Linked DNA regions of Caenorhabditis elegans. The protein of the gene in region 1 interacts with the protein of each later gene in a pairwise test. Each region holds a gene or a part of one and is shown in the gene's direction. Other genes may lie near its edges. The genes, in order: ksr-2 and mek-2.

Region 1 (5,017 bases):
AATTCAGTGAAAAACTATGAAAAATCAACACATTTTCAGCTTCAACAATGGCTACGACATGCCAATGCCTTGGGGAGGTGGCTACGGTGGTGACATGGGATATGGTGCATATGGAGGAGGTTACGGTGGTGGATACGGTGGCCCGGGAGCCTATGGAGATTTTGGAGCCTACGGAGGCGGTGGATTTAGAGGAGGAATGCGTGGATCGCCGAGAGGAGGAATGGGCGGTGGAGGAGGATTCCGTGGTGGACCACCTGGACGCGGTGGAATGTAAGTTTTGAAGTGTGGTGGAGTGCTGCTGCGCCAGTGGACGGAATTTGTCTAAAAAATTACAAAAAAATTAATTTTGAACTGCCCTTGTTCGATAGAGCGCGCTTGCATTTTTTGTAATTTTTAAAAAATTCGTTTCTCACATTTTCCAATGATTTTTCTGTAAATTTTCACTGGAAATTTGAAGAAAATTTCAAGAAAAATGCAAATTTTTCACTAGAGAGCATCTGTATGGGTACGTAACCATAAAGTTGCCTTATTGTGAAAAATTTGCATTAATCTTGCAAACGTTTCTTCAAATTTCCAATAAAAATACACTGAAAATATAAAAAATCAGTAGAAAATGAGAAAAATAAACTAAAAATGCATTAAAATAAATAAAAAATACAAGCGCGCTCTATTGAACAAGGGTAGTTCAAAATTAATTTTTTGTGTTTTTCAAATCAATTTCCCCCCCCCCCCCCCCCCCCCCCACTGGCGCAGAATTCTCCATATATCTTTATAAAATTGTGCAAGAATAATCCTAATAAATGTCTGAGGTTACAGGGCAAACAGACGCGGTCGAGGAAAGCGCCCGGGAGACGGACGAGGGGGACCAGCATCGAAACGAGACAACGGAAAGCCTGATTTCTCGGCTGACGTCAACATGAGCACTTTCTAAATTGCACCCCCGGCAGAAACTCACTTTTTCTTTGTTTTTTAAATTATTTTTCACTCCCCCCATTTTTTAAAAAATTTTAAACTTTTTCAACCAAAAATTTTGCATTTTGCATTATTTTTCTAAATTTTTTTGTTTCGTTTTTCGAATGGTTTTGATCTCAAAAATCGTTCGACTTTAGAAAGTGGTGCGAAAAATCGAAATTCTATAATTTATATACATATTACCCTCATTTCTTTTTCGAATTTTTTAAAAAATTTTTCCACTCCCTCTCTCTCCTCAACCCAACCCGTTAATCTCTCACGACCTCAAAAAGTGACAAAAACCATTCTGAAAAGTTGTATTTTCTCATTAATTGTAATAGAGATTTTGATATTGAGCTTTGCAAAAAATGGTTTTTAACGTATCTCTCTCTCTCTCTGTTTCTCTATTCCCTTCACCCTCTCCCTCTCTCTCCATTTGAAACCGTTTTATTCCGTTTTTTTTTTCTGTGTCTCGAAATTTTCACCTTTTGCTGTGAAAATTGGACGCACACACAATTTTAAAATAAAATAAAAAAAAATTTCGTTCAAAATTTTTACTCTTTCTTTCGGAAGTTTGCCCAAATTTGATTTCTCTGTTTCAGATCTTTTTTTTCGCAGTTTTCTACAAAAAGCTCGGAGAATTTTGCAATGCGGCAGGGAAAAAAGGGCGGAGCGTCGTTTGCAAGCCTGCGGCGTGGTTTTTTTTGGGATTTTCAGGATTTGGAAAATATAAAATATTTTTGGATTTTTACAAAAAATTAATACTTTTATCCAGTTTTTGTCAGAAAAAAAAAATTAATGTAAAATTTTCGAGCCTCAACCAAAAAATAAATGCCTTTTTCACTCAAAATCTTCAATTTTTTTACAAAAAAATGCAGAAAAAAGTGAATTTTTTCTAAAATAATCGCTGAAAAATCAAAAAAAAACCGCGCCGCAAGTTTGCAAACGTCGCCACGCCCCCGCAACACCTAAATTTCACGATTTTCAAATTTAATTTTTAAATATATCTTTTTTTGCAGGGAGAACCTTCGTCAGATGAGCGATGAAAAGAAGAAAAAGCGGTAGGCCGAGCAGGCACACATTTTCAGGCAATTTAACACCGATTTTCAGCGGATTTTTCAGATACAGCGTGCTGACGACGTCATCGTTCTCATCGTGGCGGAGATCTTCAACGAGTGGAAGGTTAGGCAGAGTTTTTTTTTTGGCTGAAAATTCGAGAGTTTTCGATGTGAAAATGGCCTTTTCCCCAAAAAAATTGTCAATTTTCGCGTTTTCGCCGCGTTTTTTGGCACATTTCCCGTGGAAAATGTGCTTTTTTCGCGAAAAAAAATTCGAAAATTCCGCGATTTTTGAATAAAACAATTGCGAAAATGAAGAAAACTCAATTTTTAACCTGAAAAGCTTGCAAAACTTGGTTTTTGCTCTAAAAATCGCAAATTTCATCCGAAAAACCCCCCAAAAAAAGCAATTATCGCCTTTTCCTCGTATAGCTGTCGTCGTTCCACTTCATCAGTTCTTCTCTCCAATTTTTCCCCGGCTTTTCCGCATTTTTTTCCCAACGAGTTTTACGTTTTTTACTGCTGCTCAGCGGCCGATTTAATTTTAATTTATTACGATTTTCAGTCGTGAAAATAATATGCACAACAGGCAAAAAGATTTATGGATTTTCGAGCGAGTTTTCCTCGAGGAGTACACAAAAGCTGCGTAAATCTACACAGAGGTTTTCCGGCCGTCGAGTTGGCTTTTTCTCATATTTTGGAGAATTTCGTTGTTCCGTAGTTTTCAGCCAGCCGGGGTTCTGGCCTTCCTCATTGAATTTTTCGCGCTCCATTGACAATCCTGTCTGCCGGACAACGCGTGGGAAAGTGTCGTGTACTCCTCACTGACAAATACATTTAGTTTTACAACTAGAATCGAGCCGCAACGCGCCGTAAATCTACCGAGCCAACATGGCCTAGTTCGGCCAAAACTCTTCCATTTCAATTTATGAGGGAAGCATAGAAATCTGTGAGATCGGTTTAATTTTCTAATTTTCAAGAATAAAGAATCTCACGAGATTTGTCTTTTCTGGAAAATGCAATCACAGTTCTGCTTTCCCGCTAGTTTTCTGGAAAATGTCCATTTTCAAGCTTCTCGAGGTTAATTTACGACTTTGTGCTGGCTCACATGAGCTCCTAGAGCCATTTTGGAATATTCAATGGCTCCGTTCGCCTTGGAAGACGAAAAAGAAAAAGGAAAAAATAGAGTGTTCGATTAAATTTTGCCTCCTTCGCCGTTCACATCTACACTCGGGGTCTCAATTTTTCCTCGCTCATTTCATCAAATGGTTGAAGGCTCCCGGAGCCCACCCATTTTGAGCCTAGCTAGCTGAGCACGCCTTTTTTGCTGAAAACGACGAGAGCAGCAGACACACGCACACATTTTTGTGCTCTAAGGCTCAGTCAGCTACACAGCACAACAAGCATAGGTTCGCTTCATTCAAGAACATCAAATTGCATGTGCTTAAATGTGCTGCTCATGCTATTTGCTCATTAGTACCCTTTGGAGACGATTGTGGTACGCGATTGTGAATCGAAGGCGGGGAAGATATGAAAAGTAGGTTTTAACTTGGCTTAGAGCTCTTAGAAGTTGTCCTGAAAGTCCTCTGGTGGCCGTGACGAAGAGAAAATTCGGCCACACTCAGCAAATTGAGACGGTCCAGAGCCGCTCCGTTTGACGGATTCACCCGATTTCGCTTTGATCTTCGAAAAATGCGGGAGGTGAGACGCAGACCTCTCAACTGTTTTTGCATGGTTAAGAGTGTGCTGACGTCACATTTGTTCTGCGAAAAAATTCCCGCATTTTTGTAGATCAAGCTGTATTGGGATAGCCTGACACCATGTACGGATTTTGGCAAACCTACCGTAATCCTTACGGGACATGAATCTTCGGCATCTCGTTTGAAATAGACAATTTTCAACGCGAAAATGGATTTGCTGGAGATTTTTTTCATTAATTCCAAAACTACAGTAGCTTTCCAAAAATTTGTGGAATTCGCATAAAACTGTATGGAAAATGAATAAAATCCAACAGATTTCTCACCGAAATCTTTCAATGTCGATTTACGCAGCTCGTGTACTTCTCGAGGAGTACACGAGAGAACTGCGTGAATCGACACATGGCCGTGGCAGAGGTTTCACAGTGTGAAAGTGCCAGGTTGTCCCATTACGGTTTGATCTACAAATGCGGGAATTTTTTGCCCAAAAAAGTGTGACGTCAGCACGTTCTTAACCATGCTAAATTAGTTGAGAAGTCTGCTTCTAAATTCCCGCATTTTTTGTAGATCAACGTAGATCAAGCCGAAATGAGACACTCTGGCACCACCAACTCGTCGAATTTTTTATTTTGTTTCTCTTATAAATATTTGTGCTCGGCTTCTTCACCTGCTCTGCTCACCCTCTCGGAGCTCAGTTTTGTTGCTCTTGGATACGGAAAACCGCCGGGAATCAAGTGTTGTAGTACTTGAAGTTTTTCGATTATTTTCAGTCATAGATGTCCCGCTGGGGAGGAACACACAAAAATAGCGTCATTAGTATTCCGAATCTGGTAGATTTCACAGCAGGGGGCACGTACATATTTAGCATTATGGGGACAATTGGATGAGTTTCAGTAAAGATTTTGTGGTGGTTTCTGAAAGCAAATTGCCGATTTGCCGGAAATTTTTAATTACGGCAAATTGCCGATTTGCCGGAAATTTACAATTACGGCAGTTTTCCAGTTTGCCGATTTGCCGGAATTTCTCAATTACGGCATCTTGCCGGTTTGCCGGAAATTTTCAATTACGGCAATTTGCCGATTTGCCGGAAATTTTCAGTTACTGCAATTTTCCGGTTTGCCGATTTGCCCGAAATTTTCAGTTACGGCGAATTGCCGATTTGCCGGAAATTTGCAGTTACGGCAGTTCGTCGGTTTGCCAATTAGCCGGAAATTGTCAACTCCGGCAATTTGCCGGTTTTTCGATTTGCCGGAAATTCTCAATTACGGCAACTTGCCGGTTTGCCGATTTGCCTAATTTCGGCAAATTGTC
Region 2 (5,288 bases), 9.0 Mb from region 1:
GAAAATTCGTGAAAATCGCAAACTTTCGTGTGGCAACGACACTCCGGAATGACGGAGGCGCGTGTTGTTTAGCGCGTCCCGTTTTTGCGCTTTTTCTCTCGTTTTCATCGAATTTGCAATGATTTTTTCAGTTTTTGGCCTTTTTTCGTGTTTTTTTCGGTGTTTTTCGTGAAATGCACGTCTTAAAACGTCTAATAAGCTTATATTTCCAAGAAATATCGATTTAAATCGGAAAAAAGACTACTGATGCGTCTTGGAATTGTTTGCTCTTTATCTCTTCTCATCTCTGTTTTTTCGACAAAAAAGCTGAAATAAATCGAATAAATCAGGCAGTATTGTTCTGAAATGAAAAATTTGCAGAAAAATGGTATTTTTCCATTTTTTTCATCAAAAGAAGCACCAATCGTGGAGAAAGTCCCTTCTTCTACGTAGAAATCCCCGTTTTCTATATAATTCCTCTCATCGAGACTTATATTATCCGATTAGCAGGTCAAAAATCCCCGTTTTTGGCACGGATCCACTGAAATCTCAATAAAAATCACATTTTCTCGAAGAAAAAAGCAACAAAAGAGCCGTCATCCCCCTCTCAAATTTCCTCTCCTCCTCAATTTCGATTAAATTTTTAATTATTTAGGCGCTTTTTCTGCTCTCTTTTTTCTTGCTCCAGCAGCGGCTCCCCGCATCTCTCATCGCCTTCTTCTCTTTTCTTCTCGCTTGACCGAGCTCTCGCAGTCCGGAAAAGCAGTCAATAAGCTAGAGAGCCGTGCTTTTTTTTCACCTGTTCTCAAAAATCGCCACTTCACGACAGGTTATATTCATCAATCAATTCATCACGTTTTTGCCTCGATTTCAGAGAAAACTAGTTGTTTCGGAAGAAATTAATCGCGAAATTTTTTTTATTTTCCCTTTTTTCAGACGGCTAAAATCACGTGGAAATTTATAATTGTATAGGTTTTCACTCAAATTGGCTCGAAATAGCTCGAAAAAATTCCAAAATGTGTATGGCGAATCAAAATTCGAAAAAAAAAAACCAAAATTTGCTAAAATCAGCGGCTAAAAATCCAGTTTTCATTGAATTATCTTCATTTTTTTAGAATTTTTGGCTTTTTGCCACCCAAAAATGGTCTCAAGCATTGAAAAAACACTGCGACAAGGAAAAGTTGACAAAATGTAGGATTTTAGCAATTTTTGCTTCAAAAACACGCCAAAAAACAGTTTTGGAATTTTTTAAAAATATGTAATTTTAGGTCATTCTGAGTATATTTAAGTGAAAACCCTCTTTAAAGGTGAAGTACCGAAATTCGAATCTTTGCTTTTTTAGACCCAAATTGGTCCAAAACTACCGAATTTCGTAATGAAACGTTTCGAAAATTTCTCAAAAAAAAGTTATGGCGGTTCAAAGTTCGGCAAATTAAGGCCCACAAAATTAAGGCCCAACGTCTGGAACCCAATTTTTATTTATTTATCACTTTTTAATAAATATTGCGGTCTTTTATTAGGCTTTTATTCGTTGTTTTAAGTACATTTATGGTCAGTGGGCACAAAATGTAACTTTTATTTGTGCCCCAAAGGCCAGAAATATGCTTAAAACAACGAATAAACGCCCAATCAAAGACCACAATATTTATTAAAAAGTGATGAATAAATAAAAATTAGGTTCCAGACGTTGCGACACCGAGAAGTTGGAAAAAATTTTGATTTTAGCTGAAAGTTGGCCTTATTTTGCCGAACTTTGGACCGTCATAACTTTTTTTTGAGAAATTTTCAGAATGTTTCATTACGAAATTCGGTAGTTTTGGACCAACTTGCGTCTAAAAAAACAAAGTCTCAAATTTCGGTACTCCACCTTTGATTTCTGAAAAAAAACTCTGCTTTCAGTTAAAATTACCAAAGAAACTAAATATTTTTAATATTTCCTGACTAATTTTTAGAAAATTAAATAGTTCTGAGTATTTTCTGAATTAGACTCCAAAAATCGCTAAATTTTCCCATTTTCCCCAGTTTTTCATAAGTTTTCTTGGAATTTTCCTCGTTTTTTTTCTAAAAAAAACCTCTCGATTAAAATAAAATCCAACTATTTTCCAGATAATGTCGAGCGGAAAACGGCGTAATCCGTTGGGACTCAGTCTACCACCGACAGTAAATGAACAAAGTGAAAGTGGCGAGGCGACGGCGGTAATAATTTAAAATTATTTTTAATTTTTAAATATTGAATTTAAAAAATATAAATTTCCAGGAAGAAGCCACCGCGACAGTCCCACTAGAAGAACAGCTGAAAAAGCTCGGGCTCACGGAGCCACAAACTCAACGGCTCAGCGAATTCTTGCAGGTCAAGGAGGGCATCAAGGAGTTGAGTGAGGATATGCTACAGACTGAAGGAGAACTTGGCCATGGAAATGGAGGAGTTGTTAATAAGGTTGGAATTTGCTGAAATAAGCTGGAATTTGGAAATAAAAAGTTCAATTTTTCAGTGTGTTCATCGAAAAACCGGTGTAATTATGGCTCGGAAGCTTGTACACCTCGAGATCAAGCCGTCAGTCCGACAACAGATCGTCAAAGAGCTCGCCGTACTTCACAAGTGCAATAGTCCATTCATTGTTGGATTCTACGGGGCTTTTGTGGACAATAACGATATATCAATTTGTATGGAGTATATGGATGGGCTTTCACTTGATATAGTTTTGAAAAAGGTAATAGTTTATTGGAAAATGTGCGGGTATGTTGGAAAATGATATGGTGGACAGTTCTCGCAGGATTCTCGGATTCGGCTTGTCCTTGTGATCCGCATTGTCGATCTGACCAAGCTTCTACTCGGAGTACCTGGCTCTGCCGATGGTCCGAATGATCCTTGTGATCCTGAAGCTCCGACCTTCTTCCCGGTACCTGGAATTCCGTCTTTCCAGAGGTTCCTGGCGGATCCTGTTCAGAAGATCGAACTCCGGCGTCTCAATTGCTTCCGTCTTGTCCTGGAGATCTGCTCTTTCCCGGATGTCCTGGTGGGCTTGCTGGAGCGTTTCCTTCTGGAAGAAGTTCTCCAGGCTCTCCTGTGGTCCAGAAGCTCACGGGCATTATGGCGGAATCGGGAGAGTTCAATCACGAAGCTCGTCCTGGTGATCCTGGATCACCTGATTCTCCGACTTTTCTATGGTTCCTGGCGGTCCCTGAGCTCGCTGGTGGGCAGTGCTCGCACAATCCTGGTATTCGGCTTGCCCTCCTCCTGGGAGAAGTGCTCCAGGCTCTGCCGATGGTCCGGATGATCCTTGTGATCCTGAAGCTCCGTCCTTCTTCCCAGCACCTGGAAGTCCGTCTTTCCAGAGGTTCCTGGCTGAACATATTCAGAAGATCGTCCAATAAAAAGCTCGTCATTCTGGATTTTTAAACGAAATCTTTGGCTCACCCTGCTCTCCAGCAACTCCGTACGTGGTGTCTGTCCGCTGTCCCATTACGGTTTGACCTACAAAAAATGCGGCAATTTTTTCCCCAAAAAATGTGACGTCAGCTGAAAATTCTTCGTCTCGACTCCCGCATTTTTTGTAGATCTCGGTAGATCAAACCAAAACGGGGCAGCCTGGCACCACGTGCTCCGACGTCTCAACTTCTTCCGTCTTGTCCTGGAGATCTGCCCTTTCCAGGATGCCGTGAGCCTCCTGTCCGTCTTGATGGCCTAGTTGGGTTTGCTGGAGTGTCTCCTTCTGGAAGAAGCACTCCAGGCTCTCCTGTGCTCCCCCAATACCTCCAACAGAAGCTCACGGTGCTCTCCTGGTTCTTGACCTAGTTCTCTTTCCAGAGGTTCCTGGCGATACCTGAGCTCACCGTGCTTCACAAGCCTCTTCACCCTTTTTTTTATTAAATGGACAACTACGACATATCGATTGAAAAAATAATATAGTTTATTCGAAAATGTACAGACAGACTCGCATAAGCTTCTAATATCCTGGAGCAAGACGTGCTGGTGGGCAGTGCTCGCACGATCCTGGAGATCCGGCGTCTCCTGGCGATCCTGGAGTTCCGGCTTGTCCTGGTGGTCCTGGTGGTCCGCGTTGTCCTGAAACAAATTTAACGTTTAGAAGAAGAAGAAGAAGCCTAGCTTATCATGATAATTTACCTGGCTCTCCAGCAACTCCGGCGTCTCCGTTGCTTCCGTCTTGTCCTGGAGATCCGGCCTTTCCTGGCTGTCCTGGTGCTCCTGGCCGTCCTGGTGGTCCGGATGGGCCTGGTGGAGCGTCTCCTCCTGGAAGAAGTGCTCCAGGCTCTCCTGGTGGTCCGCGTTGTCCAGGCTGTCCTGGTTGCCCAGGTGGTCCCGGTGGTCCGGATGGTCCTTGTGGTCCTGGAGCTCCATCCTCTCCGTTTCTTCCCGGGTTACCTGGAATTCCATCTTGTCCTGGTGGTCCTGGTGGTCCTCCAAGTCCTGGAGCAGCAGTGCATGGGCATTGTGGTGGAACCGGGAGAATTCGATCATGAAGCTCGGCATCAGGTCCTGGTGGTCCTGGCTCTCCTGGTCCTTGACCTGGTTCTCCGTCTTTTCCAGGAGTTCCTGGCTCTCCATCTGGTCCTGGTGGTCCCTGTTGGCATGTGCAGCATTGAGCATCAGCTTGACGTGTAGCTCTGAGCAGAACATCAAGTGGATCATCAGCACCTTCCGGTGCAACCTCGACCATCTCACGCCACATATCCCGAGATCGGGACTTGCAGTACTCAACCTCTCCTTGTACGGAAGCTTGAAGGGTCTGCACATAGTGGAATACCAATGGGAAAGCGATAAGCACAGCAGTCACTGCGACTGTGGAGAATGTGACGGCGACGAACGCCACACTTCGCAACGATCCCTTGCTCTTCTCGTCCATCTGAAATTCTATGAATTTTCTAGAATATTCGAACAAAGAATCAAAGGTGAAGAAGGGAAATGAAAAATGTCAGAAGTGTCAAAAGAATAAGAAGAAGAAGCCTACACAGTCATTTGCCGTTGCCCCCGAGTGCTTATATGCGGCCGCTGTGGTGGAACGAAACGGCAAGTCGCGCACTTCTGTGTGCGCTGCGTCTCATCGTTGCGCACGCAATTTCCGTGCGCCCCGCGCAGTGAACATCCCTTGCGTTTTTTTTTTCGATTTCCTCATCTTCTCCGCCCGTTGTTGTACATGACTGTTGATTATGATGACACATAAAGTATCAAGGTGTGGAAAAAGTAGGGGAAGGAATCGAAGAGCAGTTCGGCTGGAAGTTTTGGGACTTCGAAAAGCCAATAATCGAGTTTCGGCGCTGTAAATGAGTTTTCTACTCTTTCAGGACAG

Evidence for each region.
Region 2: the proteins of ksr-2 (region 1) and mek-2 interact in a two-hybrid assay, tested with the Caenorhabditis elegans proteins (one study listed by BioGRID).

Annotation. Positions count from the first base shown.
Region 1 is NC_003279.8:12,056,752-12,061,768, reverse strand, and holds the start of ksr-2 (Kinase suppressor of Ras B), read left to right. Parts: upstream 1-1,970; 5' UTR 1,971-1,986; coding exon 1,987-2,012; intron 2,013-2,061; coding exon 2,062-2,133; intron 2,134-5,017. Other genes in the region: hrpr-1 (RRM domain-containing protein), read left to right, coding at 40-270, 817-931. UniProt on the Caenorhabditis elegans protein: Probable inactive protein kinase which positively regulates Ras-mediated signaling probably acting at the level of let-60/ras or/and lin-45/raf. In the germline, regulates meiotic progression during oogenesis and mpk-1 (isoform b) phosphorylation.
Region 2 is NC_003279.8:3,010,246-3,015,533, reverse strand, and holds the start of mek-2 (Dual specificity mitogen-activated protein kinase kinase mek-2), read left to right. Parts: upstream 1-2,085; 5' UTR 2,086-2,088; coding exon 2,089-2,175; intron 2,176-2,236; coding exon 2,237-2,416; intron 2,417-2,471; coding exon 2,472-2,690; intron 2,691-3,868; exon of another isoform or gene 3,869-3,926; coding exon of another isoform or gene 3,927-4,045; intron 4,046-4,105; coding exon of another isoform or gene 4,106-4,844; exon of another isoform or gene 4,845-4,850; intron 4,851-4,915; exon of another isoform or gene 4,916-5,041; intron 5,042-5,288. Other genes in the region: col-48 (Nematode cuticle collagen N-terminal domain-containing protein), read right to left, coding at 3,927-4,045, 4,106-4,844. UniProt on the Caenorhabditis elegans protein: Functions in the let-60 Ras signaling pathway; acts downstream of lin-45 raf kinase, but before the sur-1/mpk-1 gene product in controlling vulval cell differentiation. Required for progression of developing oocytes through the pachytene stage.